Linked DNA regions of Drosophila melanogaster. The protein of the gene in region 3 purifies or fractionates together with the protein of the main gene of each other region. This does not show direct contact. Each region holds a gene or a part of one and is shown on either strand. Other genes may lie near its edges.

Evidence for each region.
Region 1: the proteins of yem (region 3) and BRWD3 purify together in Drosophila melanogaster (affinity purification with western blotting; one study listed by BioGRID). This does not show direct contact.
Region 2: the proteins of yem (region 3) and SMC3 purify together in Drosophila melanogaster (affinity purification with western blotting; one study listed by BioGRID). This does not show direct contact.

Annotation. Positions count from the first base shown.
Region 1 is NT_033777.3:24,314,877-24,323,504, reverse strand, and holds the start of BRWD3 (BRWD3), read right to left. Parts: upstream 4,506-8,628; 5' UTR 4,391-4,505; coding exon 4,348-4,390; exon of another isoform or gene 4,097-4,347; coding exon 4,038-4,096; exon of another isoform or gene 3,914-4,037; coding exon 3,884-3,913; exon of another isoform or gene 3,723-3,883; intron 3,489-3,722; coding exon 3,429-3,488; intron 2,838-3,428; coding exon 2,591-2,837; intron 2,530-2,590; coding exon 1,722-2,529; intron 1,643-1,721; coding exon 1,546-1,642; intron 1,482-1,545; coding exon 1,167-1,481; intron 1,109-1,166; coding exon 1-1,108. Other genes in the region: Nab2 (nuclear polyadenosine RNA-binding 2), read left to right, coding at 5,249-5,290, 5,384-5,609, 5,664-7,913, 7,976-8,245, 8,307-8,533.
Region 2 is NC_004354.4:16,586,677-16,597,001, reverse strand, and holds SMC3 (structural maintenance of chromosomes 3), read left to right. Parts: upstream 1-3,562; 5' UTR 3,563-3,635; coding exon 3,636-3,650; intron 3,651-3,727; coding exon 3,728-3,842; intron 3,843-3,918; coding exon 3,919-4,058; intron 4,059-4,255; coding exon 4,256-7,375; intron 7,376-7,449; coding exon 7,450-7,662; 3' UTR 7,663-8,006; downstream 8,007-10,325. Other genes in the region: CG9784 (uncharacterized protein), read left to right, coding at 1-286; Ubc7 (ubiquitin conjugating enzyme 7), read right to left, coding at 2,193-2,311, 2,472-2,731, 2,815-2,896, 2,959-3,001; CG13014 (uncharacterized protein), read right to left, coding at 8,196-8,894.
Region 3 is NT_033777.3:29,117,830-29,128,250, reverse strand, and holds yem (yemanuclein), read left to right. Parts: upstream 1-5,371; 5' UTR 5,372-6,049; coding exon 6,050-6,289; intron 6,290-6,344; coding exon 6,345-6,566; intron 6,567-6,634; coding exon 6,635-7,454; intron 7,455-7,514; coding exon 7,515-7,662; intron 7,663-7,728; coding exon 7,729-7,968; intron 7,969-8,030; coding exon 8,031-9,369; coding exon of another isoform or gene 9,370-9,666; 3' UTR 9,667-9,921; downstream 9,922-10,421. Other genes in the region: Ctl2 (choline transporter-like 2), read right to left, coding at 378-2,444, 2,514-2,837; Atg14 (Autophagy-related 14), read right to left, coding at 10,138-10,292, 10,355-10,421. UniProt on the Drosophila melanogaster protein: May play a key role in egg organization. May be a transcriptional regulator having a role in chromatin remodeling in concert with Hira, a histone chaperone. Involved in chromosome segregation by affecting kinetochores function in the first meiotic division.

The DNA.
Region 1 (8,628 bases), 4.8 Mb from region 3:
CCACCCAGTCAGAGTAATCGGAACTGTCCGTTTCCGACTCATCGCTGCTGTCCTCTAGGTTTTCTTCCACATTCGAGTAGCTCGTGTCGCCGGACGAGTTGCTGGACACATCTTCCTCCTCTTCCTCGGGTGGCGGCGCTACCTCATCGTAGTGCTCCGGCTCCTGATCCCGAACAGCGCGGGTGCGATAAGCGGGTTGTGGCTGTCCGCCAGCTGGCTGGGGGCCACGTCTTCGTCCAGCTCTTGCGCCGCCGCCATTGCCACGTGTGTTTCGTGGCCTGCCAACGCTTCCTGGCTGCTGCGAAGATGCTGCACTGGCAGTGTTTATCATGATGGGTCGGCGTCGCATTTCGCGTTTGTACTCCTGCTTTTCAAACTGACCGGCAGAGTAAATAGTCTGCTTAAGGTTTTGCAACTGGGGATACTTCATGGGACGCACATAAGTGCGACGGATGAATTTCAGAGGCAGCGCCTGTTGGACTTGTGCCTGGCCAGGTTCGGCTGCAGGTTCTGCCGGAGGTTGAGACGGCCCTGCTTGATCCTCAACTGGCGCGGCAGCTGCGGCACCCCATCCTTGGCGAGGCGTGCTCAAACGACTACCCAGGACATTGCCACGTGACGATTGCCTGCCATTGGAGTCCGGCATTTGACGATTGGTCAAACGTTCGAAGGACTGGTTGCCGTTGGTCGGATTGGCATCATTGGCATTTACATTAACCGACTGCCGATTGGCCAAGGCTGCAATCATGCGGTCGATATGGGAGTAGTTAGCTCCCTGTGGTCCTCCAGCAGCAGCAGGGGGCAATGCGGCTGGCGGAGCTTCAGCGGGTGCAGCGGCCACAACAGCATCTCCACCTGCACCTCCATCGTCGATTACTACGCCATCCACGCCTACCGTAAGATTTGGAATCAATTGGTCTAGGCTACAGCTCTCACGACCAGGCACAAATCGTTGAAACCTTGATGGATGCGGGTTGCCATCTGCATCGACCAGGAAAGGCGGGGGCATTAGGTGCGGCATTATCTGCGTCTGCTCGTCCACCACATGGTGCTGCGCATCTCTCAATAAAGGTCGAAAATCCGTGTGAAAGAACAGCTCCGTGGGAAGCTGAAAGAATAAATACATTTAACTTTATCCTTTGAAAAATACTCCTCAATCAACTTACCATTTTGTACTTTTCAATGCACACGCCCAAACCAAAAATCAGGATGTGTCCATGCGAATCGGTGGCAGCTATCATTGTGCCATCCGGTGACCACTTTGCATCAAAGACACTGCCATGGCCTTGGCCATCGATGTCGTTAAGGAAGTTGGCCACACAAACGCCCTGCTCGATGTCCCACAGAAATACCTGGCCATCGTGCCCGGCGGAAAGCAGGACATGCTCATCTCTTGGGTTCGACTCAAGCACATAAAGCTCATCCTTGTGCCCACGCAGAACACGATGCAGCTTGGCTGACTTCGAGTCCCAGATTTTTATCTGTTTTTAAATGGGATTATTAATTATAAGTAAATGTTTAGCACGTTTTAAGACGGATGCTTACAGTAAAATCGTTTACGGCGGTGATGACATAACGGTCCGAGGCATCCCAAGCCACCATGGTTACCTTAAGCCTCTTTCCCTCCTCTGGTTCCGGGCAGCTGCAATTTAATTACAAAGCTATTAGTTTTCAGAGAATTCCTTACTAGCTAGAAACATTTTAAAGAAAATCGCACTCACCTGGCCAGACGCTCCGTCATGCATAGTTTGGAACTTTTCCACTGCTGCGACTCAAACGTCCAGATGTGTGCTGTGCCGTCCTTGCTCCCCGATATAAATCTCAGTCCACGATGCGACCACTGCACCGAGTCCACGGCATCTGTGTAAGCTTCCGTCTCCAATATTCGCTTCGGACCGTCCTCGCCCATCATATAGACGCGCACATGGTGATCGGCAGACCCAGCGGCCAGAAAAATGCCTCCTGGCGAAAAGGTGGTACACATCATCTGAGCTTGTCCGGGCCGCAGTTTCTCATGATACTGCGTTGGCTTCGGGGCAAACGTGATCTTTTGCCCGCGCGGCGTTGAGTATTGCCAGAAGGCGATCGATCCATCTGTGCTGGTAGTCACCAGATATTTCAGATCGCTACGTGGCGACGGACAAAAGTTAACCGAAGTTATCATGCCCGTGTGAGCAGACAGTACGGCGATGGGTGATGTGGTTTGCATGTCCCACACTCTTAGTATGTGATCCAATGACCCGGCAGCCAGCATCGTATTGTCCAAGTTAATGGCTATGTCTGTAATCTCGGATGAGGCGCCTCGCAGAGTGGCCAGCAGGCGGCCATCTGCCGCTGACCATATCTTAATAAGTAGATCATCGGCTCCGGTGATGATGTATCTTCCTGTGCGATCAAACAGAACACAGTACACTGAGGACAGGTGGCCCACAGTGCGACGGAGCAATTTTGTTCGGCGGTAGAGGTCCGTGGGCACGAGGAGCTTGCGACGGACTTCCCCGCCGTGTTCCCGTCCAGTTAGAACGCGATCTTTGGAAATATAAATGGGTTAGTCTCTAATATGCGAATAAAACTCTACCATGCAACTAACCTAAGTTGTGGGTCGGCTTTGTAAGGACCGAATCCGGCAGCGAGACTCCATTCAGGCGGGTGCAGTAGTCCCTTAAGGAGCGATGGCAGTAGACGGTTTCCTTGGTGCGCAGGAGGTTCTGGCGCCCAGTACCCAACAGCGAGTTGATGCCCGGAACACTGGGCGGAAGCTCGCGATCCACCAGTGGACCCAGACGACTGCATATTTCAAGCAAGTGATTGGCGCCAATGTGCTTGTACTTTCGTTCCTGCGAATTCAAAATCAAAATTTAACGTATTCCTATCGATTGGGCGATAAACGGTGCGATAGCTTCAACAACGTATGCTTGTCTCGTTCCCTCGCGCACAAGTCAAGGCAAAGTGGTGGTTGCTTGCATGTGTCTGTGCGCATGGGCATGTGTATGTGTGAGAAACCAAAATGTCGGCTGGTTGCAGCTAATTGTTAAAACTAAATTACAAAGCATTTGTTTAAAAAATTAAGATTTTTCAAAATTTACAATTTTTACGAGGGTTTTAGAATTTTTGCTTTCCACTTTAGTCTTTTACGAATTTTTGCAATTTTTTGCTGCCTTTTTAATTAAATAGTTGCTTACTTATTTGTTAATTTAACAGTCAGAATGATTGATGTCTTTAGTTGTAATGTTTTTTAAATTAACAACTTGAATTTTGATGTGCAACTTTTTCTCTATTCCCTGACACGATGACGTCACAAAGGCGAGCGAACGACTGAGACGGAAAATGCCGCAGCAGACGCACACTTACGCAAGACTTAAATGCCGATCAAAAGGCATTAAACGATAACTTTGAAAAGCTAATTGATTAATTATGAAAACACTCACCAATTCCTCAAAGGTCTGCTCATGCTCGTTTCCCTGCCAATCGAGACGACGCGGCAAAACCTGGGAATCGAAAGGTGTACGTATATATAGACGGGTGTAAATATATATGCATGCATGTATGACTCTTATCACTTGCACTCCGTGACGTCGACGATGACGTCGCGGGGGCATCCCTATGATTCCATTTCTTTTTTCATGTTTTTCTCTTCTTTTTTTAATGGACTATATATTCACGTGGCCCCAGCAAATCCACAATTCAGTCTGATTCCCAACTCTGAGACAAGCGGACGTACAAGTGGGTTTTTCGTCGTTCGCTGCCGGCAGCAGAAACAACAACAAAACCAAAACAAAGCGTATAAACAAACGCGGTTTTCTATTTTTTTTTTGGCCCCCCTCTCAATTCGAGTCCGAAATATCTGTGCCAAAAACACAGCTGCAGCACCAACAAAACTCACCTTCTTCTCTTCGAGTTCCCGGATCAAGACCTACAGTTGGATAGAATTTAGTTTCAGAATTAATGTAAATGTTTGTAAACAAAACGAAATTCCGCTCTTTTAGCGCGAAATACGATTCCAATGCGATCTCGCGCGAGCGCTGCTTTCAACCCACCTTCGCCGTCTCCTCCAGCGGTCCCGCGGCCAGGAACTTGGAAATGAGGAAGTACAGCTCTGCAAGATAGAGGATTTCACGGGTTTTAGTGCAACAAGTTGTCGAAAATGCGCTCGCTGGGAGTCGTCAATATTCCAGATATATCTGGCCAAAGGGGCCCGTGAATTTCGCTTGGCGAAACGCAGTCGAAAAAACGCAGCCATTCGATTCGAAGGGCGAGCGAAACACAGACACACATTTCACAAAGTCAAAGGGGCTGCCTTTGGTAGCCCCGTTGGACGCACTCGCTGCGCCACCGGGCGGTACGCACCTGGCTTTAGATCATCACCGGAACTGGGTTGTCTAGTTTCCATTATTCATTGCGAATTGCAGCTCCGATTATGACAAAATTGCAGTTGCTTTCTTCTAAAATTCTTTTCGCAGCTTCTTCTTCCCGTGTGACACTCGATTGCCATTCCCACCGAATGAAATGCCTTTGCGTATCGATAGTTGGTGGCGGGGCTCACAAGATGGGTATCGAGTCTTAGCCGAAGGAGCCAATTTTCGTATTTGAATTTGAGATGATGCACTGAAATGCTTCGCAGGATTCTACAATCTAAGATATTTACTTCAAATTGAGAATTTTAATTCTCAGTCAAACATATTCGTAGCCATTGGTTTGGAATTTAAGCTTATTATGAAATTTATATTTAGCTATGTGATTAAATAAACTGTTTGCAATTATTCGCTTTTAATTTTCGAATGTAATTTAATAGCTACTACACAAATTCTTGATAACTAGACTTATGATTTAATGAATAACAAGTGAAATCTTTTTATATTTTTAAATTGTCCCATTGGTGTTGATTATTTTGAAGTTATGTTGCACTTCAGTTCATGGCCATGGCCAGGAGCATTTTTAAATTTCAGAAGTTTTTAATTTGCCATTTTAATTTCAAATGAAATTTCTGTAACTATTTATTATTTTAAAGCTATGTTTATAGAAAATCGATATATACATTATAAAACGTGTGAATTAAACGTGAATACCCTTAATGTCAAACGCACACCACTAGTTATGAATATCGGAGCAGCTGCGATATTTTTTTTTTTTGGGAGGTTTTGCCATTTTCTAATGTAACAAAAAGTGGAGTGTAGCCACAAAGTAAGCGTAAATAATAAATGCTCGCGGCGAATAAACAGCGAAAAAGGCGATAGATAAACCAGCAAACATGGAGTGCAATCTGGGCAGCGAGATTGGTCAGAAGATGCGCGTAAGTCATTGGAAAAAAATCAATGAACTCGTTATGGATACCGCTCGGATTGGATACTCCAATACTATATATATTTTTGCACTTCATTAATAGAGCGCCGTAAAGGCAAAGCTGCTGGAGCTGGGAACCGGAGGATCGGCCGGTTTTATAGACGATGAATTGCCGGACTACGTCATGGTCATGGTGGCCAACAAGCGCACCAAACAGCAGATGAACGCCGAGCTGAATCTATTCCTAGGCGATCAAACTGACCTCTTTGTCACCTGGCTGCACGAAGTGCTGCAAAAGCTCCAAGAGGTCACACTCCCCACATCCAGTGGTATGATGGATATGCTCATCATACTTAAGCACCCACTAACTCCAATTTTTTCAGCTTCCAGCAAGAAGCGCAAGTCTCGCGGTCAGGAGAAGGACAAAAAAGGATCCAAGAAGGATAAGCGACCGCACCGAAAGTCCGGAGATGAGCTGTCGGAACCACAGCCAAGTTCCTCAGATGCCATGCCAATTGTCAGTTCCATCACGGATGTTTTTGCCGAAGAGCTTCTCGAGAAGGCAAAGAAAACCATGGACATTGATCTCAGTGCCAAAGACGAGATCCTGCACAAAAAGAAAAATCGCAAGTCCATCGAGGATGAGGATGCATCGGCCAATAGGGCGCTGGATGTGCCCGCTGTGTCTGAGATCATCTCAACTACTATCGGTGTTAACCGGCAAAAAGACCTCGCTGAGCTGGCCGAAATCCAAAAGAAAATTCATGCAGCCAAGAAGCATTTACGCCAGATTGGCGAGATCGGGGATGAAAGCGATGAATATGATGAGGATCTGTTGAACTTGAGCGCGAGGGAGGAGTCTGTAGACCAGGAGCCAGAAGAGGATCCCCCGAAATTGGAGGCTCCACCACGAAAAGCTAAGAGCCCCATTATTTTTAACAGACGCGAGAAGACACCCGAAAAGCGTCCAGAGGCTGAACCGGAGATCGATTCCCGCCAGGAGGAGGCGGAGGAGAAGAGCCCCAAAAAAGATTCTTCGGCTGACAAGGCCAAGGAAGACCGGTCTGAAAGGCGATCGGTGCATGACCGTCTCGGTTCAAAGGCCCAAACGCCGGCAGATCGTTCGCAGCGCAACCAAAAGGAGCTCTATGTGCCGACCCATCGGCGACGGAGCGAACCCGAGGCCACCAAAGAGCGCAGTCAAAGAGAGCGCACCCGAGAACGACGCTCCAGCCGCGATACCTCTAGGGACACTAACCGTAATCAGCGCCAGCGTCGTTCGCCTAGTCCGGAGGCTCCAAGTACAAAGCAACGCATTGTCTCCCAAGTTATTGTGGCCGTTAACAAGCCACCGGAGCCGTCGGACGATGAGGATATGGCCGAAAAGCCAGTCAACTCCGTTATTAAGGTCAAGCCAAGACCAAATGTTTCTCCCAGACGACAGGCCTGCAAGAACCTCCTGCTGCGAGCAGTGGCGGACGCGCAGCGTTCCACAATCCTCGCCAAGACTTCGACACAGAAGGAGGACGAGGATGTGGGCAAGATCATAAGTTCTCTAGGCAAGCGCAAGTCGGAGGATAAGAATGATCAGATTCGTAAACGGAATCGCGAGAGGAAACGAAGAAAGAGAAGTGCACAAGGCAACGAACTCTTCCGGCGCACCACTCGGGAATTAGTGGTAAATGTGACACAAAGGGATGGAAAGCGTGAACGGCGGTCCAACGAGCGTCGCGCCGAGATCAAAGTGGTGGAGGAAGAATATACGCCAAGCCTAATGACTGAGGGCGTCGAGACGTATGTGCCGCAATTGCTGACCAACGTGGATGAATTGGATTTGCACATCAGCTCCCACGACGAGCCAAGTCCCAATTCCGGAGCCCTCAAGACTCAGTTTGTGGTCACGTTAAACGGCGACAAAGCTCTCGGAGGTAAGAATGTCAAGGGAGGGGCCTCTCGCAAGCGGCCGAGCAACTCTCGTAAACGATCCACCTCACCCGTATCCACGCCACAAGTGTCCTCCTCTAATATTGAGCCCACATCTACGACGGTTGACAAGCGACGCCGATCCAATCGGGATAGAAGCTTCTCGCCATCGCCGAGACAGAGCAGTGGGTCACCCTCCCTGCCGACAACACGCAGCATCAATCGCAACGAGGTACGCCGTCAGCCTCAGGAAATCAAGAAGATCATCATAAAAAATGACACCGATGAAGATGATGAAATGCACGGGTCACCGAAGAAACGATCACCAAACAAGCGCCAGCCAGCGGCGGCCAATGGTCACAAGGACAATAAGGATAAGGGTAAAATCGAGGAAGGCTCAACAACTCCACCGCTGCCAGCCAAACCAAAGGCGCGGGCGGAGAAGAAAGCTTCCAGCAAGGAGAAATCCGTAAGATCTAATTCAGCGGAGACGTCATCGGCCGCCAAATCTGTCAGTGCGTCCACTTCCGTTTCGACAACTACCAAAGCCAAGCACACGCCCATTCGCTTCACTCTTAAAAGTGAGGACGAGCCGAGTGCGAGTAAGAAGCGTCGTTCTGGCAGCCCCGATCGTGATGTCGCGGCTCCGGAGAGACGCAGGGTATCCATACGCAATCCGGAGGACAGGAAATACGACAACTTGCCGGCGTGTAAGTGTATTCTTTCAATTTTAACAAATTTGAACAATTACTTAATATCTTGCCCCAATTAGTGAGCGCAGTTAGCGTGGATTCCACCGTGCTGAAGGTGAACAAACCCAAGGAGCGCTGCAAATATCATCCAAACTGCACAAAGCAGTTCTGTGAGTACTATCATCCAACGGCGCCGTGCAAGTCTTTCCCCAACTGCAAATTCGCGGACAAGTGCATGTACTCGCATCCGAAGTGCAAATTCGACATGGCCTGCATGAGCATAGACTGCAACTACGCCCATGGCGGTCAAAGGGATCTAAGCCATGTCCAGCTTGCTGCTCCACCACTATGTAAGTTGATAGCCTTTGTATTTAATTTTACAAACTCACAAACTTTTTTTTTAATTTACAGCCTCTCACGTCATCCCAGTGCAGAACTACAAGTCGATATCGGCTCCTGTTACATCCACGACTGCGACTACCATGTGCAAGTACTATCCGAATTGTTCCAAGCTGGGCTGCACCTTCTATCATCCCAAGCCCTGCCGCTTCGGCAAGAACTGCGTAAACAAGCTGGAGTGCATCTTCTACCATCCTGAGATGCAGAGCAAATTCAAGTGGGTGGCATCTTTGGGCTAATGTGGACTGCACTTTCGTTCAAATGATATTTAGCAAATGTACTCTATTTCGAGTGTATGATTAGGCGAGCTTGGAGTTTTTTCTATCTATATACA
Region 2 (10,325 bases), on a different chromosome or scaffold from region 3:
CAATCACCAACCGGATCCGTTTGAGACGCCCTCGCATCATCGAAGGGGTCGGCATCATCACAGGAATCGCCAGCGACAGCGTCGCCATCAGGAGGCTAATGCCCAAGAGTTGGTGCGGCTAGATTTCGCCGACGATGTGGAACTGCGTCACGGCGAGCAATACCTGTTGATATATTTCCGCAGCACCGGAGTCCGGGGCGTGACCAGTTTGGCCGGCGTCAGTGGTGTCTTTGTGGCGGAGAAGCGGCACGGCTCGCCCCATCGGACGGAGTACCATGTTGACTAGCTAGCCGAGGCTCTGGATATCTTTATTCTTTAGTCTCTGTTTCCATAACCGCCGTGTTGATCTAATTTTATTGACCTCATGTGACCGTGTTAAGTTTGCTTGTTAGCTGTTGACTCAGCGCCTCCTCTCCTCTCCCCCCCTCCAAAATACGTTAATACATACATATGTAATTATACATAATTATCGAACCAATAATATTTGTGTTTACTACCAATTCCACCTATTCCCGCCCTGAATGAATCCCGCTTTTTCGTTTGCATACATATGTTCTATTTGCTCTGCTGTCATTTTGTTATTTTTATTTGTACGGTGTCATGGCACTAGATATTTGTATTTAACCGGTTTGTCAAAAGGTTAATTACGCCACATTCACTGTCACACATCTACACTATGACACACCCTGTTGCCAGTAACAGGCAAAAACTTATTGATGAGAGCCAGGTGAGAGCTCTAAGCCAAAATGGGCAGAAACCGGAGTCTGAAAAGTGATATTTTTGAATGCCTCTCAAGTGAAATATATAGAGAAAAGGTATTATATTGAATAGAGTAGCAAAGTATGAATATAATTTTATCTTCATTTAACTACTATTTAATGTAGGCAAATTGTATTTAATTTTTTGAATAACAAAAAAGAGAAAAGTGAACTTTTTAACCATGATTCTAAACCAACCAGCTCAACTTACGAAAGATTTTTAATGTTTTAAACAAAAAGAAAAGGTTTTTCTCCGGAAACGTAGACTTTTATAAAGCGGCATGCGATGTTTTTTCCATTATCTGATTGGTATATAATCTATAAAATTTATATAAGGATAGTTTAGATAAGAACTGCACCTTAACGATAGCTGCAACCCAAGTAGACCACCAAGCAGAAAATTCAAGCAATCTGCATTGACTTCCCCCACCCACCGTACAGTGGGTCAATGGAAATCCGAACTGGCGCAGCCCTTGCCCACTCCCACTAATTGGCAATGTTTTGATGACTGACTGACTAACTGGTGGAACGTACAGTGGGCCGTAAAAGTCTGTGGTGCCCACCGTACTCGAACGATCGAATGGTGTAAACATTTTCGAGCCCATCTATGGTCCGAAAACCAAGAAGACAGAGAGCATTAATTTATGCGGGCCCGGTCAATTGAAATTCGTGTGGCTTAGTAACCTTCAGCAACTATTAGATAACTATATTACCCTCATACCAGTGGACACTTAACCAATGTATGTGTATGGGTGTGCATTTACCCACCTACCTATAAACATATAAATATATATATATATATACATACATACAGTCGTATGCCTTATCAAAGTGAACATTAATCAATTTACTTAATCGAATGAAAACGTTTACAATTGTGTAGTATTTTATGAGTACATAGGACAATTTCATGTTGGATTTCAGTTAATGATCAGTCGAATTAAGTGTGTAATGACTATATAAACCAAACATAAAGCATAATGCAAATCAAACGCCTCAATCACTTCGAATACATTGCCCTTGCACTTGAATTATCGTAATTTCTATTTAACTTTTCAAAACAGCATCTTTATAAAGCATCAATACAAATTATATCTAGTGAAAATATATAAAAAAAAATAAACCTTTAATAATAGAAATTATTAGAATTTTCACTTTTCTTGCCAACTTCTCACTCCGCCTTCACCTGGCCTCGTGTCCAACTACCAGTGATGTACTTCAGGTAATAGGCCCTCCAGTTAAGTCCGGTGAGGCAGTCAGTGTGCTAGATAAACTTGAGTTAGTCGATTTTGACGTTAGGTTCTTCATTTTTGCTAATTTGAAACTTGTGTCGGTTAGCTCAACGAGGGATTTTTGAGAAAACTATGGGTTAGCGAGTTGTTGGAATCGTGTTGTTCAGGGTAGAAAGTATTGACGGTGACGCACATGATCCATTTACGCCGGTAAACCAAGAGTTTTGCGCACCAGCCGTCGGGCGATGGCGTTGAACTCATCCCTCTGTTCGCGCCACATAATTGCTGCATCCACATTAGCGCCGCTCTCATCGTTGGGTTCTGTGGGCAAAAATGAACGACATCAGTTTGAACTTAAGGAATGAACAAGTGAAGTGAACTATCGGCATGATCAACCATATAATCTAGTGAACAAATGAACTTGGAAGTAGATACCCCCGTTGGAATTGCCCTTAAGACTTTATTGTGACTTTTTTCTTACCCGCCAGCATGCTGACCACACTAAGCAAAATCTTCTCCACGCTCTGGACAGGACTCCAGCGCTCCGCGGATAGCTCGTAGCCCATGGGATCGTCGCCGGGTGCGTGTAGTATTGATATGCAGACCCGCCCGTCGGCGAATATGTTGGGATGGAACATGTCACAAGTGAATTTCATTTTAGGCGGACTCAGAGGATAGTCGGTCGGAAAGATGAGCCGGGCAGGAAACACTCCGCCCTCGAAACAAGTGCCCTCAGGTCCGCTGCAAAGGGCAAAGTGCAATTAATGGGTTAATCTGTCCACATCTGTCCGATCCGTGTCGATCGTTCGGGGATCTTAACTCACGCAATCAGTGCCTCCCACTCGAAGAAGTTGTCCTCGCTGATGGGGCCGGCCACAATGCCCTCGGGCGGGTCAAGTGTTAACTCTGGAGATGATCGGAGCGGTGGTAAGGGAAAGCTGTTGCTGCCCTGTGGACTTTCGACTCACGTTTGTATTCCGCCATCAGGCGGCGCAGTGCGGACCCAGCCATCCTAAATGCGCTCGATGGTAATGATGATGGTTCAGTTCACGGGCTCCTTCTCCCCACTGTGACCACTTCCTTTGAGTTTCCTTCAGCTGCTTCTCCGTTTCCTGTCCACCTGCTCCTGCACCTGCTACACCCGAATGGGGTCCTTGCTTGTTTTGGCGGCAATCGCGAACTTTCCAGATCCTCGGGCACGGGTCAAAATACAGACACGTCGTAATATAATAAACACAAACGGTGTTCCGTGTTTATTTATATCGAATGAATCGAGTGGCTTTCTATAAAAATATATCTGTACTGAGTGAATTTAACAAGAGTAATCGATTCGATTCGATAACGTCGGCTATCGTTGTTTTAGTATTTCACACCTTCAAACTACCTTATTAAATTAATTATTTGTTTGCTTCTTAAACCATTATTGATGGACACTTTTAGTTGTAAAATTTAAAATTATTTTTTTGTTTTATATCATTTGAATTTTTGGTTCGATTGCAAGCCAGTGTTTTTCAAAGTTGGGATATCGATGACATCGATAGTGAAACGCAAACATCGATAAGTCGCTGCCCGAGTCGATATTATTTATGTATTTGTTGTAAAACAAAAAGAGCGCGATTTTGTGCAAAAAATCGCATATAATAAGATGCACATCAAGCAGGTGAGTGTTGAAATGACGGCCATGCTCCTGGCCACCCATTGGACACCGAAGATCTGAAATCCACCCGTTAATTCCAGATTATTATACAAGGCTTCAAGAGTTACAAGGACCAGACGGTGGTGGAACCATTCGACAAGCGCCATAACGTTGTTGTTGGACGTAATGGCTCCGGGAAGAGCAACTTCTTCTACGGTTAGTATCAGCTCCAGCCTGCCTGTTCAGCTAACCATATTTAATCGACCCTAATGCTATCCCATCCACTTTGCAGCCATCCAGTTTGTGCTAAGCGATGAGTTCACCCACTTGCGGCCGGAGCAGCGTCAGTCGCTTCTGCACGAGGGAACAGGTGCCCGCGTCATCTCCGCCTATGTGGAGATCATCTTCGACAACTCGGACAACCGAGTTCCAGTGAGTAGTCAAACCAAGTGACCCAGAAAACATAGTCTTTGCAAGAACTCTACTGCCTTGGAAGATGTAGTCAATGGTTGTAACATATCGCTCAAAATCCTCTAAAGCAACCCGCTCATAGCATCTTCTCATAATATTCAAACTTATAGGCAAACATTTCTAGCCACTTCATAACTGACGCTACGCTTATTTTGTAGATCGACAAAGAAGAGATCTTTCTGCGGCGCGTGATTGGCGCCAAAAAGGACCAGTACTTCCTCAACAAGAAGGTGGTGCCGCGCAATGAGGTGGTCAATCTGCTGGAATCGGCTGGTTTTTCCAGTTCAAATCCCTACTACATTGTCAAGCAGGGCAAAATCAATCAGATGGCAACTGCCGCCGATTCCTATCGTCTCAAGCTGCTACGCGAAGTCGCGGGAACGCGTGTTTACGACGAACGGAAGGAGGAGTCGTTAAATCTATTGCGCGAGACGGACAGCAAGGTGGAGAAAATCAGCGAGTACCTAAAGACCATCGAGGATCGGCTCCAGACGCTCGAAGAGGAGAAGGAAGAGCTAAAGGAGTACCAGAAGTGGGACAAGACGCGCCGCACGCTAGAGTATATACGCTACGAAACCGAGCTGAAGGACACCAAGAAGGCTCTCGACGAGCTCCAGCTGCAGCGCAAGTCGTCCTCGGACAAAAAGAAGATCTACAACATTGAGATTCAGAAGGCACAAGAGAAGATCAAGGATGTGCAAAAGAACCTTAAAGAGGCAAAGAAGAAAGTGCAGAGCACAAAGGAGGAGCGCTCCGTACTGATGACGGAGCAGCAACAGTTACTGCGCGAGAAAACGAAACTAGACCTAACCATTGTCGATCTAAATGACGAGGTTCAGGGCGACAACAAGTCCAAGGAGCGGGCTGACCAGGAGCTTAAGAACCTTAAGGTAACGATAGCCGAACGCGAAAAGGAACTGGACGACGTAAAGCCCAAATACGAGGCGATGAAGCGCAAGGAGGAAGACTGCTCCCGAGAGCTGCAGCTCAAGGAACAGAAGCGCAAGGAGCTTTACGCCAAGCAGGGTCGCGGTTCACAGTTCTCCTCTAGGGAGGATCGCGACAAATGGATCACCAACGAGCTGAAGTCAATTAGCAAACAGACGCGCGATAAAATCGCTCATCACGCAAAACTCGTGGAGGATCTGAAGAAGGACGCTACCTCCGAAAAGGATCTGGGTCAAAAGATCGAGGAGCACTCATCGGAACTGGAGCAGCTCCGACTGCAGATCGACGAGCACAACAAGAAGTACTACGAGCTTAAGAAGACCAAGGACCAGCATCAGTCCATGCGAAACGAGTTGTGGCGCAAGGAGACACAGATGACGCAGCAGCTGCAGACGCACAAGGAGGAGCTATCGCGGGCGGACCAGGCGCTGCGCAGCATGGCCGGCAAGCCGATCCTGAACGGTTGCGATTCTGTGCGCAAGGTTCTCGACAGCTTTGTGGAACGTGGCGGTCAATCGGCGGAGATTGCGAGAGCCTACTATGGACCCGTCATTGAGAACTTCAGCTGCGACAAGACCATCTACACGGCGGTGGAGGTAACAGCCGCCAATCGGTTATTCCATCACATTGTGGAGTCAGAATACGAGGGCACGCAAATCCTCAAGGAGATGAATAAGCTGAAATTACCGGGCGAGGTGACCTTTATGCCCCTGAATCGACTTCAGGTTAAAATACACGATTATCCGGATGATCCCGACTCCATACCTATGATCTCCAAACTGAAGTACGATGAACAGCACGACAAGGCGCTGAGGTATATCTTTGGAAAAACGCTAATCTGCAGAAATTTGGAGCGCGCCACCGAGCTGGCCAAGAGCACTGGGCTGGATTGCGTTACGCTGGACGGAGATCAAGTGTCCTCCAAGGGATCCCTCACTGGCGGCTATTTCAATACATCCCGTTCCCGTCTTGAGATGCAAAAGAAGCGCACGGAATACACCAGCCAGATAGCTGAATTCGAAAAGAAACTCAGCAAGCTGCGAAACGAGCTCAAGTCCACCGAGAACAACATCAACTCAATCGTATCCGAGATGCAGAAGACGGAAACGAAGCAGGGCAAGTCGAAGGATGTATTCGAAAAGGTGCAGGGCGAGATTCGCCTGATGAAGGAGGAGCTGGTGCGCATCGAGCAGTATCGTGCGCCCAAGGAGCGCTCACTGGCCCAATGCAAGGCCTCATTGGAGTCCATGACCAGTACGAAATCTAGTTTGGAGGCGGAGCTGAAGCAGGAGCTGATGTCGACGTTGTCGTCGCAGGATCAGCGTGAGATTGACCAGCTGAACGACGACATTCGTCGACTGAACCAGGAGAATAAGGAAGCGTTTACGCAGCGTATGCAGTTCGAGGTGCGCAAGAACAAGCTAGACAACCTGCTGATCAACAATCTGTTCCGGCGTCGCGACGAACTGATCCAAGCGCTGCAGGAGATTTCCGTGGAGGACCGCAAGCGAAAGCTAAACAATTGCAAAACGGAACTGGTTTCCGCCGAAAAGAGAATCAAGAAGGTCAACTCCGATCTGGAGGAGATCGAAAAGCGGGTAATGGAGGCTGTGCAACTGCAAAAGGAGCTGCAGCAGGAGCTCGAAACGCATGTGCGTAAGGAGAAGGAGGCCGAGGAGAATCTTAACAAGGATTCCAAGCAGCTGGAGAAATGGTCGACCAAGGAGAACATGCTCAACGAAAAAATCGATGAGTGTACGGAAAAGATTGCCAGCTTGGGCGCCGTGCCGCTAGTTGATCCTTCCTACACACGCATGTCCCTGAAGAACATCTTCAAAGAGCTGGAGAAGGCAAACCAGCACCTGAAGAAGTATAACCATGTGAACAAGAAAGCCCTGGATCAGTTCTTGAGCTTCTCCGAGCAGAAGGAGAAGCTCTATCGCCGCAAAGAGGAGCTCGACATCGGTGACCAGAAGATCCACATGCTAATTCAGTCATTGGAGATGCAAAAAGTGGAGGCCATTCAATTTACGTTCCGACAAGTGGCGCAGAACTTCACCAAGGTGTTTAAGAAGCTGGTGCCCATGGGCGCGGGCTTTCTCATCCTGAAGACCAAGGACAACGAAGGCGACGAAATGGAAAAGGAGGTGGAAAACTCCGATGCTTTCACAGGGATCGGCATTCGGGTTTCGTTCACCGGCGTTGAGGCTGAGATGCGTGAGATGAACCAGTTGTCTGGTGGACAGAAGTCGCTTGTCGCCCTGGCCCTCATTTTCTCCATCCAAAAGTGCGATCCAGCTCCCTTCTACCTATTTGATGAGATAGATCAGGTGAGTCGTCACATTACCTATAATTACGCATTACTTTATTTGATTGACTAATGATCTACTAATGTTTTGTGCAGGCGCTGGATGCAATGCATCGAAAGGCGGTGGCGAACATGATCCATGAGCTCAGCGACACTGCCCAGTTCATTACGACAACGTTCCGGCCGGAATTGCTGGAGAACGCGCACAAGTTCTACGGCGTGCGATTCCGAAATAAGGTCAGTCACATTGATTGTGTGACCAGGGAGGAGGCCAAGGACTTCGTCGAGGACGACAGCACCCACGCCTAGGAAATTGCCCCGCCCAAAACCTCATCCCTCAACCCACCACAACCATCTCTCGCCCCAATTATTAGTTTCGTAGGCGTACGATTTGTTTTCACATTCTTTTAAATCGTATACATATATATATATATAGTTTTCTTTCTAACGATACTTGCTACATTTAATTTTCCTTAACAATGAGAGTTAGTTTTCGGCTAGGCCGTGCTCGTTGCGTGGAACACTTCGAGCCGGCGAACAAAACCGAGAGTATAGAAACTCCAAGCCCAGATCAATATGTAATAAAGCGCATAGAGAAGTAATTTAAACTATATTTAAAACGAAAATATGTATTAAAAAGCTTATGCAAAAGGAAACCGTCTAATCCAATATAATTCCACACTTTTATGTATGTATGATAACAATGCAATAATTGTTTCGAAATAAGAAGTCTGGTTTATTACTCAAAAAATTGTTCAACAACGTGCATCTTATAATTAAATGTTGGTGTCTTAGAGCTTGGCAATCAAGGCTCCAGTCCCTGGTTGCCCGACCAGCTACTCTCAGCTGGCCACAGCGTCCAGTTGCTCCTGGATGGCATTCAGCGCAAAGATGGTGCTAAAGCACATGCCCACGGTGGCCACCTCCAATTGGCTGATGTTGTAGTGCAGCGGCAGTCGCCACAGGACAAAGTGATTCAGCAGAACAAGCAGGGCCAGGCCAAGTGACCACCAGTGCTCGTCGACGATGGCGATGCGCCAAAGACAGTGGACATTCCACAGAACACAGAGGCCCAATTGCGCGGCATCCAGTTTTATGAATGTGGCACCCAGTGGACTGCGACTGTTGCCGAACCACAAGCTGGTGACTGCAAGTGCCAGTACAGCGCTCCACAGTCCAAAGGCCAGACGCTCCCAGTCGGCGCCGAAGAAGTCACCCATTCGGGTGGCCGGATTTACGGTCTGCAGCTCGCCCACCACCAGGGTGACAAATAGGACGCAGGAGTAACGTCTCGACTTGTCGCACAGCAGACGCTGCACTGCGCCCGGATTGGGATGCGTGTGCCGCAGCAGGCAGAGCAGGCTGTGGCCAAAGTAGATCCCAAAGGCGGCCATCGCCTTGCTGCCGGTGCTCCGTTTCAGACCCCAGCCGGAGATCACGGCCAGGACGAAGTGGATCAGGCACAGGGCTAGCAGGGAGGTGCCACCACTGGACCCCGGCAAGGGACCATGATTCGGAGGAGGACTTCTGTTGGACACCATTGTTTTGACTTGAGAGCGATCACGCCGGTTGCCGGTGATTCCACCTCAAGGTGGCAAATCTTCCGTCCAGTTTGCGGACGGGCGACTTGATTCCTCGACCAAGTTTGTTGCCGATGTAACGGCGGATAAATGATCTTTAGTTAAACTTTATTAAATATTTGTTGCATCAAAACAATAACAAGATTTACGTCAATATTAAATCAGTATCGTATTTCGACATAAGCGTGGATTTTTTAGGTGGTTTCTTTCATCGATAGCGTAAATTCCTCGATAATATAACGGATTCGGTATAAGTGTGGACACAGCCTTGAAATATGCCTTTTTGAATTTGACTGTTCATCCGGATAAATATGCCTCTTGTAAAAGCATACTTGTAATAGGTCGAGTTCTACATAAGGAGAATACAAAAGTTTACAACAGATAGTTGATCAAACATTTCATTTTTATTTAATCAACTAGCATTCACGTGGACAAAAACGTATACAGATGTTATTTTTATATACTAGTGGATTATATAGTAAAATACTTAAGTTTTTAAGATTGTATAATTTCTAATAAGAAAAAATATTCTTATGGGCTTATTTTGATGTCAATGCAGCAAAATGTATGCTATGGTTTTTGAAAAGGGAAGTAATTTTCAGTTAACAATATAACCGTGCATTTTTTCTTATTATTTACGAACCTAAGAAGTCGTGTTTTATTGCATCGAATTAAATTACAATATTATAAGTTTTTAGGTTTAAATTACTGATTTGTTAAAAATTTCAATCCGATTTGAATAAAACTGCTAGTTGCTTTTTGTTCCATCCCTATTATATTATATCCAACTGAGAGTTTTCATATTTCCATACACCGCGAAACGGTCACACCGCACCGCATTCAGTCCAATCGGAATCGCTCCTCGATAAGCCCAGACAAATCACGCCTCTATCGATTTCTTATAAGAAAGGAAAACGAACGAGCGTGTTATCGAGTGCAACATTTGCGATTTGCCCTGCTGCGCGCGTGCACTTTTTATTAATCTCCCGTATAAATCAGATATCCGTGTGCATTTCGAACGCGCTCCGTCAACACACACACAAAAATTAAGTAAAAAGTTTAACACGAATTGCGAATAGCGAAAAAACAAAAGCTTAAACCGTCGAGTGTGAAAATTTCGAGCTAAAAGCAAAACGAAGTTAAGGTAAATTGCAAGCAGTCACTGTTTTTTTTCTCGTGCTATTTTCTACTTCTCATCCTCCTCCATCATCCTGCCCCCTGAACCCCTCCCCCAACATCCTCGACCGCCCCGCCCCCATACAATTGTGCAACACACGCACGCACACAGACGCAAATGGGAGGCTTGGAGCAGTTTCAAACCACCAACAAACACACGCACACATGCCCAGCCACACGCGCGCATATACATATACCGATATACATATGCATACA
Region 3 (10,421 bases):
TGTGTCTTCAATGAATTCATTTTTATTAAATTCGAAAATTATAATAATTATCGTTAACTTAAACTTCATGAATGTGAGATATGTACTTTTGTGTCTCTGTATACATGTTATTGTATGGTATTACTTTTGGTCTTTATGGTCCGCGCCTATCACATGTCTAGCCGCACAAAAAACTTTACATATGGATACGGATACTGGCGTATTATATACACTAGATTAAAGATTAAGAGTATTGGCAAAGGAGCGTGCATTTAATGCAAACCCAATTGCAGCCGGTTGAGCAATCGCTCACAACCCCGATCGTTTCGTTTTGGGCTATAATAAATATATATATATATGTTTTACTTCAATAAAGTTATAATTTGCACTGCTGTCTCCTACTTTCCGCGGCGCTGACGCGGCGGCAGATTGTTCTTCTTGCCAAGAATCTTCATTAGCTGCTTGGACATGAAGAACGGCTTCTCCGGTGAGCCGTCGTTGCGCTCGCAGTCCTCCAGGAAGCACAGAAACAGTGTGTCCACTGCCGTCGAGTACACACCGAAAAACACGCTCGTTATGAGAAAGGCGGCAATTACCACCACCGTGGTGGGCACTGCTATGTAATTTAGCCGAATAATGCTCGGATTATTGTCCAGGAAGTAGTAGGTGGACGCCCCCGCCCCTGCGGTTAGCAGCAGTTTCGACAAAAAGAACAAAAAGTCCGTGACCTGATCCAGCGTCACCACACGCAGGAAGTTCCTCATAATCAGATTAAACGAGTCCGCGGCACTGGAGCAGAAGTTCTTGCCATGAATGGCGCACATGATGTAGGCATTCCGATTGAGGAACTTCAGGAAGGTCTCCAGCAACCAGAAGAAGCAGCGCATGCAGCAGAGGATGGCTCGTGTCACCGCATTGTCGTACTTCTTCAGCTTCTCGTGGATGTACTCCAGCACCAGACGGATCAGCCGGACGATGGCCAGGATGAGCGAACCAAAGGCCACGGTGCCCAGATGGTAGACAGCAGTTTGAAAGAATGCCCTTGTAAGGGTGAAGTAGGGCACATCCCTCTTTTTGAAGGTCCAGTACCATCGGGCGAAGGTCGAGGCCAGCACCATGTAGCTGAAGGCGGAGATGAAGAAGCTCAGCCAGAGGAAGCCAAAGACGTTGTAGAAGATGGCCCACTTAATCTCGATTGGATTGTTAATCGAGTCAAAGCTGCAGGTGGTGTTCAAGCAAGGGTTTCGGTTCTGGAAAAATGAGGTCAGCCGAACGCTACAATATTGCTGGAACACTTCTGGCTTGCAGGATCCGCCCACTGTGTAGTTGATGGCTGGACCTTCGCAGACGCAGTCCTCGGTGGTCACTTCGCCACTTTTCGTCAGCTGTCGCACCATTCTAAACGAAGGATCGCCAATTGAGCCCAGATACAGGCCCACGCCAATGGCAAACGCTATGGCGGCAATGAAGAGTATCCAGGAGAAGATGGGAAAGAACACGGTGCTGATCACGCTGCTCACCGCCTTGCTGCCCTCCTTGGTTAGGGCGATCGCTATCCGGATGCGCTTTCTTAGCACAATTACCAGCAACAGGATAACCACGAAGCACACGCCTACGAAGATGGACAGGTAGAGCCAGGTGTTCTGGTTTTGCAGGACATTCTTGACCGTGGAGTGTAGATTCAAGCCGTGTACGGGAACCGTAGGCGTATTCTCCCAGTGGATGTACTGCTTTACGGAGAAGTAAATACCCACCAGCAAGCCGATAAGCACGCCGAAGATGGAGAACCAGAGAATCGGAGCCGAGAGCCAGCGCATTAGAGCGATGTAGATCAGTGAGGCTACCAGGGTGCAGAAGCAAGCCACCAAAACGATCGACCAGGAGTTGACAAGATCCTCGACAATCTTTTCTCCCAAAAGCTGGGCGTCGTTTGTGCCATTGTAGAAGTGGGCCACCATGTTACCAACGAGCTTGGCCAGCCTCGTATCGGTCTGCATCATCTTCTCCTTGATGACAGCCTCGTTGAGTCTGCGCTTGCACTGGATGATCGGTTCCTCGTCCACTGGAGTCTGTTTGCCATTCGCCTGTGGAACAACGAGAGCCTGGGCATCCGTCATTTTCTGGTACATGACATCGGCCTGCATTTGAACTTCTGTGGTGGCGTTTCCGGGCAACATATGCAGCTCCCGCCTCGACCTTCCCCCATTTAGCAGAAACGAGGGAATATAATCACACACGCCCTGCGAGAACTCGAAGAGGCATCGTTTGAGGAATGGAGCACTCTTGATGTACCAGCGTGCGCACTGGTTCTGGTTAATGGCATCCTGAATGTCCGATTTGGTGCGAATCTGCGCCTTGTGCTCCTCCGACAAGCAGATGAGGCGACTATGCAGCTCCGCAAAACTTTGTTTGTCCTTCATAGTGTCCCAGACGAACGTCTCTCGGGGACAAGTCTCCACACAAACCTGTTGAAATACGTATTTCATTAAAAGTAAGATCAACTCCTTGCAAATTTGATGTTAATGGTATCTCACCTGTGGAGTGTCACATCCAGTGATGGGTACAAGTGGATCGATGCACTGATTCAAGTCGAAAAAGAATAGGTTTTTCTTGTTCAGCACTCCGGAGTCCATGCCACACTTTCGGTTAAAGGAGTCCGTGGGCACCAGCAGTTTGTTGAGATCGCCGTTCCTGATGGCGTATTGGGCTATGAAGGCCCATCCGCCCAGGAAGAGGACGAATAACAGCAGGCAGGGCACATCCGTGCAGCTGCGATCCCTCTGCCTCGGTCCCGTGAAGTTCCGGTCGTAGCGCAGTGGCTCGCCGTACTTGTTCATCAGCTCCACGCTTTCCGTCATCGCTCTCTACTGAAAGAGTCCAAGAAGAACCGAGTGTTTTATGTATGTATATACATAGAGCCACTATCGATGGGTCGTCGTCTCTAGGTAATGAGATTGTCAGGCGTATATCATGTAATTTATTTCCGTGCATGCGTCATTGTTTTAAAAATGGAAAACCGAATCTGTAGTGGGTGGTCGTGTTGGCGGTGAAGCCAACCACCAGCGGCTCTTTTTGTTCTAGTTTATTTGTTAGTTTGGTTGGGGAAAGTACGATGAGTAAATGAAATTGTCGGCGACAAAGTGCGGTTTGATTATATCAACGACAGGCGGCCAACGATCCCTTTTGGATTGAACCACAATTAAATAATATTTCTTCCTATGTTTATGAATAAGACTGTTTAACCTTTTAATGATCAATGAACCTAGCTCTGTAACAAAGTTTTCTACTGGATAAATGAACTTTAAGAATGGCTTTGGATGGGCTGGTGAATTATCCATAATTATTGCTAATACATTCTCCTACAGCAGACTCATTTAATTAATCATGAAAGCAAATAGAGAGCAGAAATAAATAAAGTATCGCTCATTCGGTTTAAGAGCTCCCCTGATAACGATAGCGATCGCAACTGTACGAACCTCTTGGGGATGCGAAAATCTGCGAAGAGGTAGCAGTAAAGCAGCTCGAGCATGTCGCAAATCGGCAATAATGACGCATTAAAAAGCAAATTAAATTTGTGCGCTCACTTGTTGCTGTTGTTTGATTGTTTATGTGTATCGCTTTATTTTTGTGTGCGGCTTCTGTCCATTTGAGATGAAAAACTGGCTGCCGCCTTTAATAGATGAATTACCAAAAAAACACACAAGTTTTCATAGAAAATGGGAAACCAATTTGGGTTGGCAAGGCATTTGGGGCCACATGTTTCAAGGTCGATTGCCGTAACTCCATTTTGGTGTAGGAATTTCAATGTCTGGGAGTAGAGTTTATCATTCAAGCAGTGCTACGGGCAACACTCTCAGTAGCTAACCTTTTTTTCTTGCAAAGAAACTTGTAGACATGATAAGAAAACGGGTGTTCGTTTTGATATCTAACCCATTTGCATAATTTGTAGTGTAGAAAACTGGTTTAAACCTAAGTTGTCCTTGCATCGAGTGTTTACTGTGTTCACCTTGGACTACGTCACTTGAGATAAAAGAAAGCAGTCGCAGTTCTGATCTTATCTTATAATGGTAGTCTCTTGTTTCCCATATGAACGATTTCCCCTTGTTGTTTTTTGGAACTACAAATGTACAAGGCCCCGTAATTTCGTAATGAAGCAGTATTACTCACCTTTGCTTCGGAGCCGAACGATTCTTCCAGAGATGTAACAAAGGAGCTCCACTCTTCTCGTCGCTTTTCCTTTCTTTCTTAAAGTTCCTTTATTGTCTCATGACACTTTTTTACGAGCGGCTGGGGGCTTTTTGTTTAGCTGGTTTCCTGGGACGGAGTCACTACTCCGGCGAAAGTCACCGGACCACTGAAAGCGGGAAGCCTTTGTCGGAGCTCCGTATCCCGTACGTTGCTCTTTGGACGTCGGTCACTTGCATTCGTTGGATAAATATGTACATACATACATAAAAGAGCTCGAGTGGGGCTGCAAGCATAAAGGCAGCATAAGTGTTTATGTGCTAGTGTTTGTGTGGTGCCACTTGGGGATTGGGGGTGGGGGAGTTGGGGATTGGGTTGGATTGGATTGTGAAAAGAGCAGCACGGCACACTTTTGTTAATTGCACAATCCTAATCGTTTTCACCCGATAACGAGCACTGGCCATTCCCGTTATAATAACACCTTGCAGTTTCGACCGAATTCGAATTTCTGTGCATGCAACTCTTTTCGTTTCGCTTGTTTTTGTTGTGGAGCGGGCGCATGAAATTAAGCCCCCAAGCTCACGTACTGCGACTCACTTGCACTTGCGCTAATTAAACGGCGAGCACTTGACTTTCTACGAAGTAAACTCCTTCACAATCGAAATAATACTGAATCGCCCCAAGAAAATCTGCCCACCACCCGCGGCCCCATACTCTGAACAGCTGTGCCGAACAGTGCTGCACAACGGCCCGTTCTGGTCAAAACAAAGCAGAAATGTGTGTGGAATGTGGCACTGCACAGGGATGCACAAAAGCTAGTGCGAGTGTTGGCCGCTTTCAAGCCAGATCTCGTTACTTGTTGGAAAGTTTTAGAGCCGCGTAAGTTATAAAAAAGTTTACATTATATTTTGATTTTGGGTCCTTTTTAAACAATTAAGCTTACAACAGCATAAGCCACCTATATATTTTACGTAACCTATCAACTTGGTAGCTCGAAACTTTACTTTAAAAATGAGCTAGATGCCAAGCTAATGAATTTCTAACTAACGGAATTTTGGAAATACATAGCACCCATAACAACTAAATATTGCCAAATGCAGCCAGCCGCAGCAAGTCTCGGCTTGTGCTGCGCGCAGTGTGAACGGCTCGGAGTAATTTGCGAAAACCGCGACCAGTGCTGCGCAACGCGAGTGCGAAAGCCAAAAGCAGGGTCGGATCTTTGGTGCGGGGTGGAGCGGAGAGAATGTAGCGTTGAGGATTTTAACAAGAAACAATTTAAGAATCGCGCTCCTGGCCGTGCGAAAAGCGCCTGGTCGAATCGTTTAAATGTCCCCTTTGGTAGCGTCGATTGCGTGTGTTTAATCCCCGGTGCGCTGCTTTTACAGACTGTGTTGTTTTCGTGCCGGCAAGCCAACCAATTTGAAACCCCCCAAAAAGTTTCCACTTTTTCATTCCCCCAGAAAAGTGACAATTATTCGTGGCCGTGGTCGGCGGATGCAGCTGCAAAGCGGGCGGCGATTAAAGTAGTGCAATCCGGCGCAGGTCCTCGCCATTTGTTTATGTTGATAAAGCAGTGTTTGTGGGGCGACAACAAGAAAGTGCAGCTCAGAGTGAAATTGCCACGGTTATTAAGTGGTTGTGGTTGCTTGGTGTACGTGCAGAAAACCTAAAACAGACATCCCCAGAAGAAGAGGAAGCAGCGGAAAAGGAGGAGGAGGAGCATCAGCAGCAGCGACGTCTCTGTTGTTTTTGTTTGGCTGCGAGAGAGAGAGAGGGAAAGAGCAACGAAGAACACGCGGCTCTTTCGAAAAAAAAGGGCGGGAAGGCCCTTTCGGCTCAAAGGAAACCCTATCCCACTGAATATCCGTAACTCTGCCCGCCGGAAATGTCAAAGGGGGGCGAGCACAAGCGCGTCACCCTCACCTCGATCATCCAGGGCGATGCGGGCTTCTCGCGCTTCGGCAGCAACATCCTGGAGCCTGATGCTGCGTCCGCTGCACCCGACAACAGCTCCAAACCCACGACAAAGACTGCCAAGTGCATCCGCATCAAACTCGATCTGTTCGAGACCGATTCGAACAAGTATCCCGAGTTTAACTACTCCCGGCTTTTGTATTTGGAAAAGGTAAGAGTGTATAACTCAGTTGGAGGATCGCTTTCTAAACCCTTGCAATCCGTAGAAAAAGACCAAAAAGCTGAAGCAGGTGAGCACTACCAATGGCTCCGCAAGCACTGATCCCTTTGCCGACAACGATGACGATGTGGCACGGATCGTCAAGGAGCTGGAGGCCAAGTATGGCAACTCCTATGCCACAGGCAGGGGGAAGAGCAAAAAGGACGACTACCGGGACATTGGAATGGGCTACGATGAGTCGGACTCATTCATCGACAACACGGAAGCCGTAAGAACAAGAAATATTTCCGACGAATGCACTGAAATTATTTACCTTAAACTCTATGTTCTGTCCAGTACGACGAAATCATACCGGAGGAGGCGGAAACTCTGGAGGGCGGCTTCTACATCAACTGTGGCGCACTGGAGTTCAAGAACCTCACCAAGAAGTCCTACACCACTCGAACAGATGCCATCATCAAAATGCCAGAGCGATCACGCAAGCGCATGGTCTCGTCCAGCTCGGAAAGCTCATCGTCATCCTCGGGCGATGATGACGAAAACGATGATGGCAACAATGAGGAGGACGACGAGAGCGATTCCGAGGACGACTCCGAGGAGAACGATGAAAGCGACTCCGAAGACGACTCCGAGAGTGAAAGTCTTGAGGACGAGGACTCTGCTGCTACAGCCAAATCCAGCAGCAAGTACAAAGACAATCATCAAGCTAAGCGGGCCAAGGTCATCGTTACGGGCAAGTCCAAACCAAGCTCAAGTTCTTTGACGAGTGGCAAGAAGCCGCCGACTAAGCCGATCACCACTTCCTCATCCTCAAACTCGCCACGACCCAGCACGGTGGAGATTTCGGACACGGAAGACGGCCAAGACCCTATCCAGACTCAGCCATCAAGTCAGCTTCAGTCCCTGCCGCAGAGTCAGGCCCAGGCGCAAGCTTTAAAGAAGGTGGTTAAGACCACAACGGTCAAGGACATGCTAAAGGCCAAGCGAGACAGCTTCCTGAAGTCGCAGAGCGGCACGGCAGCTGTCAAGGGCGTCGGCAACGGCGAGCTGAAGTGTGTTTCCACCGACGTGTCCAGCAGCGATAGCAGCGATATGGAGTCTGAGCACGGCCGGGCAGATAGGCAGGCCGGTCAGCATGGCAAGGATGGGCAGGAAAGTGAGTTACATATACAGTATTAGTTGGTTGAAATCACCCTTTCACGTGTTCATTTTTAAGATCTTCGCACCGCCGACACTCTGCTCCCCACCACATTGGATGCGGACATTGTGACCGCAGTCAACAGCTTCAAAGAAGCGGTGAAGAGTCGAGACATGTGCGGCAAGAAGTTTAATCTGGATGTGAAGCTTTCGCCACTACTGCTTCGGTGAGTTTGCAGCCGATGTAAACATCAAGTACAGATTTAAGGCTTATATCCATTAACCTACACCAGGGTGTACGAGGCGGTGCTGTGCACGGACCGCAACGAGCGCAACATGGTCTTCTCCCACATCGAGTATCAGCTGCAACTGCCCAAGTACTACATGCTGCGCAAAGGGAAACAAGTGCGGGCGAAGGAGGAGAAGAGGAAGTCCACCATTATGCTGGAGAAGCTGCGGCGGGCTGTAGCTGTGGTCATGCCTAAGGCGGTGGCCAACTATGAGACGGAACTGCGCACATTTGCTGAACAGGCGTAAGATTGTTGTTAAGCGAAATAACGATTAGGTTCCTTTAGATTATGATTATTATTTTCAGAGCTGCGGACGTGAACTCCGAACTGCCGCCCAAAATGCCGCGTAAGAAGTTCCAGTGGACCAGCGAGCTACGCCATCTGCTGTACGATGTGTACCAAGCGCGTTGGACGTCCTACGCTTTCCTAGCCAAGCGCAAGGAATCGTTGGAGGAGTTCATCAATTGGTATCTCAAGGAAAAGGTGGTGGAACTGTGGCCGCCAGGCTGGATGCGTTTGGATGAGTTGCAAAGGGAAATAACACGCTACAAGAACGCCAAGCTGAAAGCAAAGGAGAAGCCAAAGGCACCGCCGGCGTCCGCATCGCCCAAGCCCGTTGGAGTTGTATCTGCTCCTGAGCAAATGCCGCCGGCAAGCAGCTACCTAAAGGCAGTGGAGGACCCTCGATCTCGAGGTAACTCCGATACGGACTCAGCTACAAGTGCCTCCTCCAACAGTCTGAAGCGAAAGCTGAAGGAGATGCCCAAGCAGACCAGCAAGCCGCCAAAGAAAAAGGTGGCTAAGCAGGTACCGCTGCAACCGCAACTTACTCCGCATCCGCAATTCCAGCTGGCGCCGGCTGCCACGGCGGCCGTCAGTATACCAGCCATTAGCAATAACAACAACCACCTGCCCCACCTGGACACGCTGCTCTCCATGCCGAGCACCTCGGCTCAGGCAGCAGCACTCAATGCCGCCGCCGTAGCAGCCGCCAGTACGGTTCTGGATCTGGCATCCCCTAGCCGGAAAATTGACCTTAACACCAGCAACAATTTCTACAATCTGATCACGGCCGCCTCCCTGGCAGCCAGCGGGAATCCCAGTCCGCATTCTGGAGACGGCCAAGCCAAGGTGATTGTGGGAGCTCGGCCCTCTCCCCATGTGATCAACCTGGATGACTATCAATGCACCAGCGATATACTTCAGACGTCCAAGCAGCTAGCTGCCACCACCACTGTCATCACCGCCATCTCAAAGGCCGCGCAAACGACGTCGGTAGCCAGGGAAAGCAGCAGCGAGTCGGATGGCGTTGAGATTGTGGGAGTTTTTCCTGCCTCTAAGCCCCAAAAGAAAGTCCAGTCTAAGCCCAAGAACAAGACTCAGAACAGAGGTCGGTCGTCTTTGGGTGCGGTGGGGCAGGTAAATGGATCCCTGGGCTACAGCGCGAATAACATGTATATCTACAATAGCCCAAGAACGCTGGGTCCAGTGTACGATCTCACCGATCCGCATATAATGAAAACTATGTCAAATCTGAAGGAAATGGAAAAGCAATTCATTCAAGCGGCTTTCTCGCCGAACAGCGTCAAGGGCGCAAGCGGAGGAATGGGATCCTCAGCGCCCAGTACGCCCACGCGCCAATGACATTCGGGATCGGCCGCACAGCAGCCCCTTCCGGCTGCTGTGACGGCCTTTTACAACCAGGAGGCGATGGCCGCCGCCATCGTGCTCTCCACGATGAGCCACGCCTCGCCGCGCTACGACCTGCTGGCCAACGGCTCCGTCTCCATGTCCGCCGCCCAGGTGGGAGCCTCTGCCAACACACTGCCACAAGTATTCGTTAAACCCAGCCTGCCGCAGCCCAGCGCTGGCGGCGATGTGGTGACCACGACTGGAGCTGCTCGCCCATCCACGCAACAACTGCCCACAAAGTTCATTTAGCTAGGGTCACTCAGCTCGTTCCCTTGCGATTCTAATCTAAGATTCTAGTGCTGATTCTAGGTAGGTTTCATTCGCAGCTGTGTCTGCCGATTTTCCAATTATTGCACCAGTTTAATTATTGTTTCTCATTGAGTCGTTTACCTACTAAGTCAGTGTACTATGCAAGCATTAATAAAGCAAATTTATATATATTTATTTATAGAGAACCATTTTTATTAAATAAAGGCGAATAAGTTATGTAATAGAAATAAATCCAAAAGGCGCATTTTCTTTACACACAGCGAATATATATGTATATATATAATTGATACAAAATTAGTTCTGTAAACCAAAGGATAACGCTAAAACCAGCAACTGCCGATAAACACCGACGTGCTGTCACAGAAACGATTACTTAGTCTAATTTGTAAAAGATAACACGCGTGTCTCATGATGATATAGCCGAAAGATCGGACGTCTGTTGGTCTGCGATCATTTGATCCAGCGCAGCACCGATGTGGCCGCCATTCGCACGAAGGCGATGGTAGACTGCTGGTTGGCCGCCGGCATCAGATTGGGATCCGCCAGCTCCGGCTGCGGTGTCAGGCTGGGCACCGCCTCCCAGTCCATGCGCAGAGAGTTTTCGTCTGGAAAGGCATCAGCATCAGTTTGAAAAGATTATTCCCCTCAAATTGCTAAACCAACTCACCCTCTGACTCCGATTCCGTGGCGGTCTCGATGCCGATTAGTAGGGAGTCCACTGACTTCATGAGTGG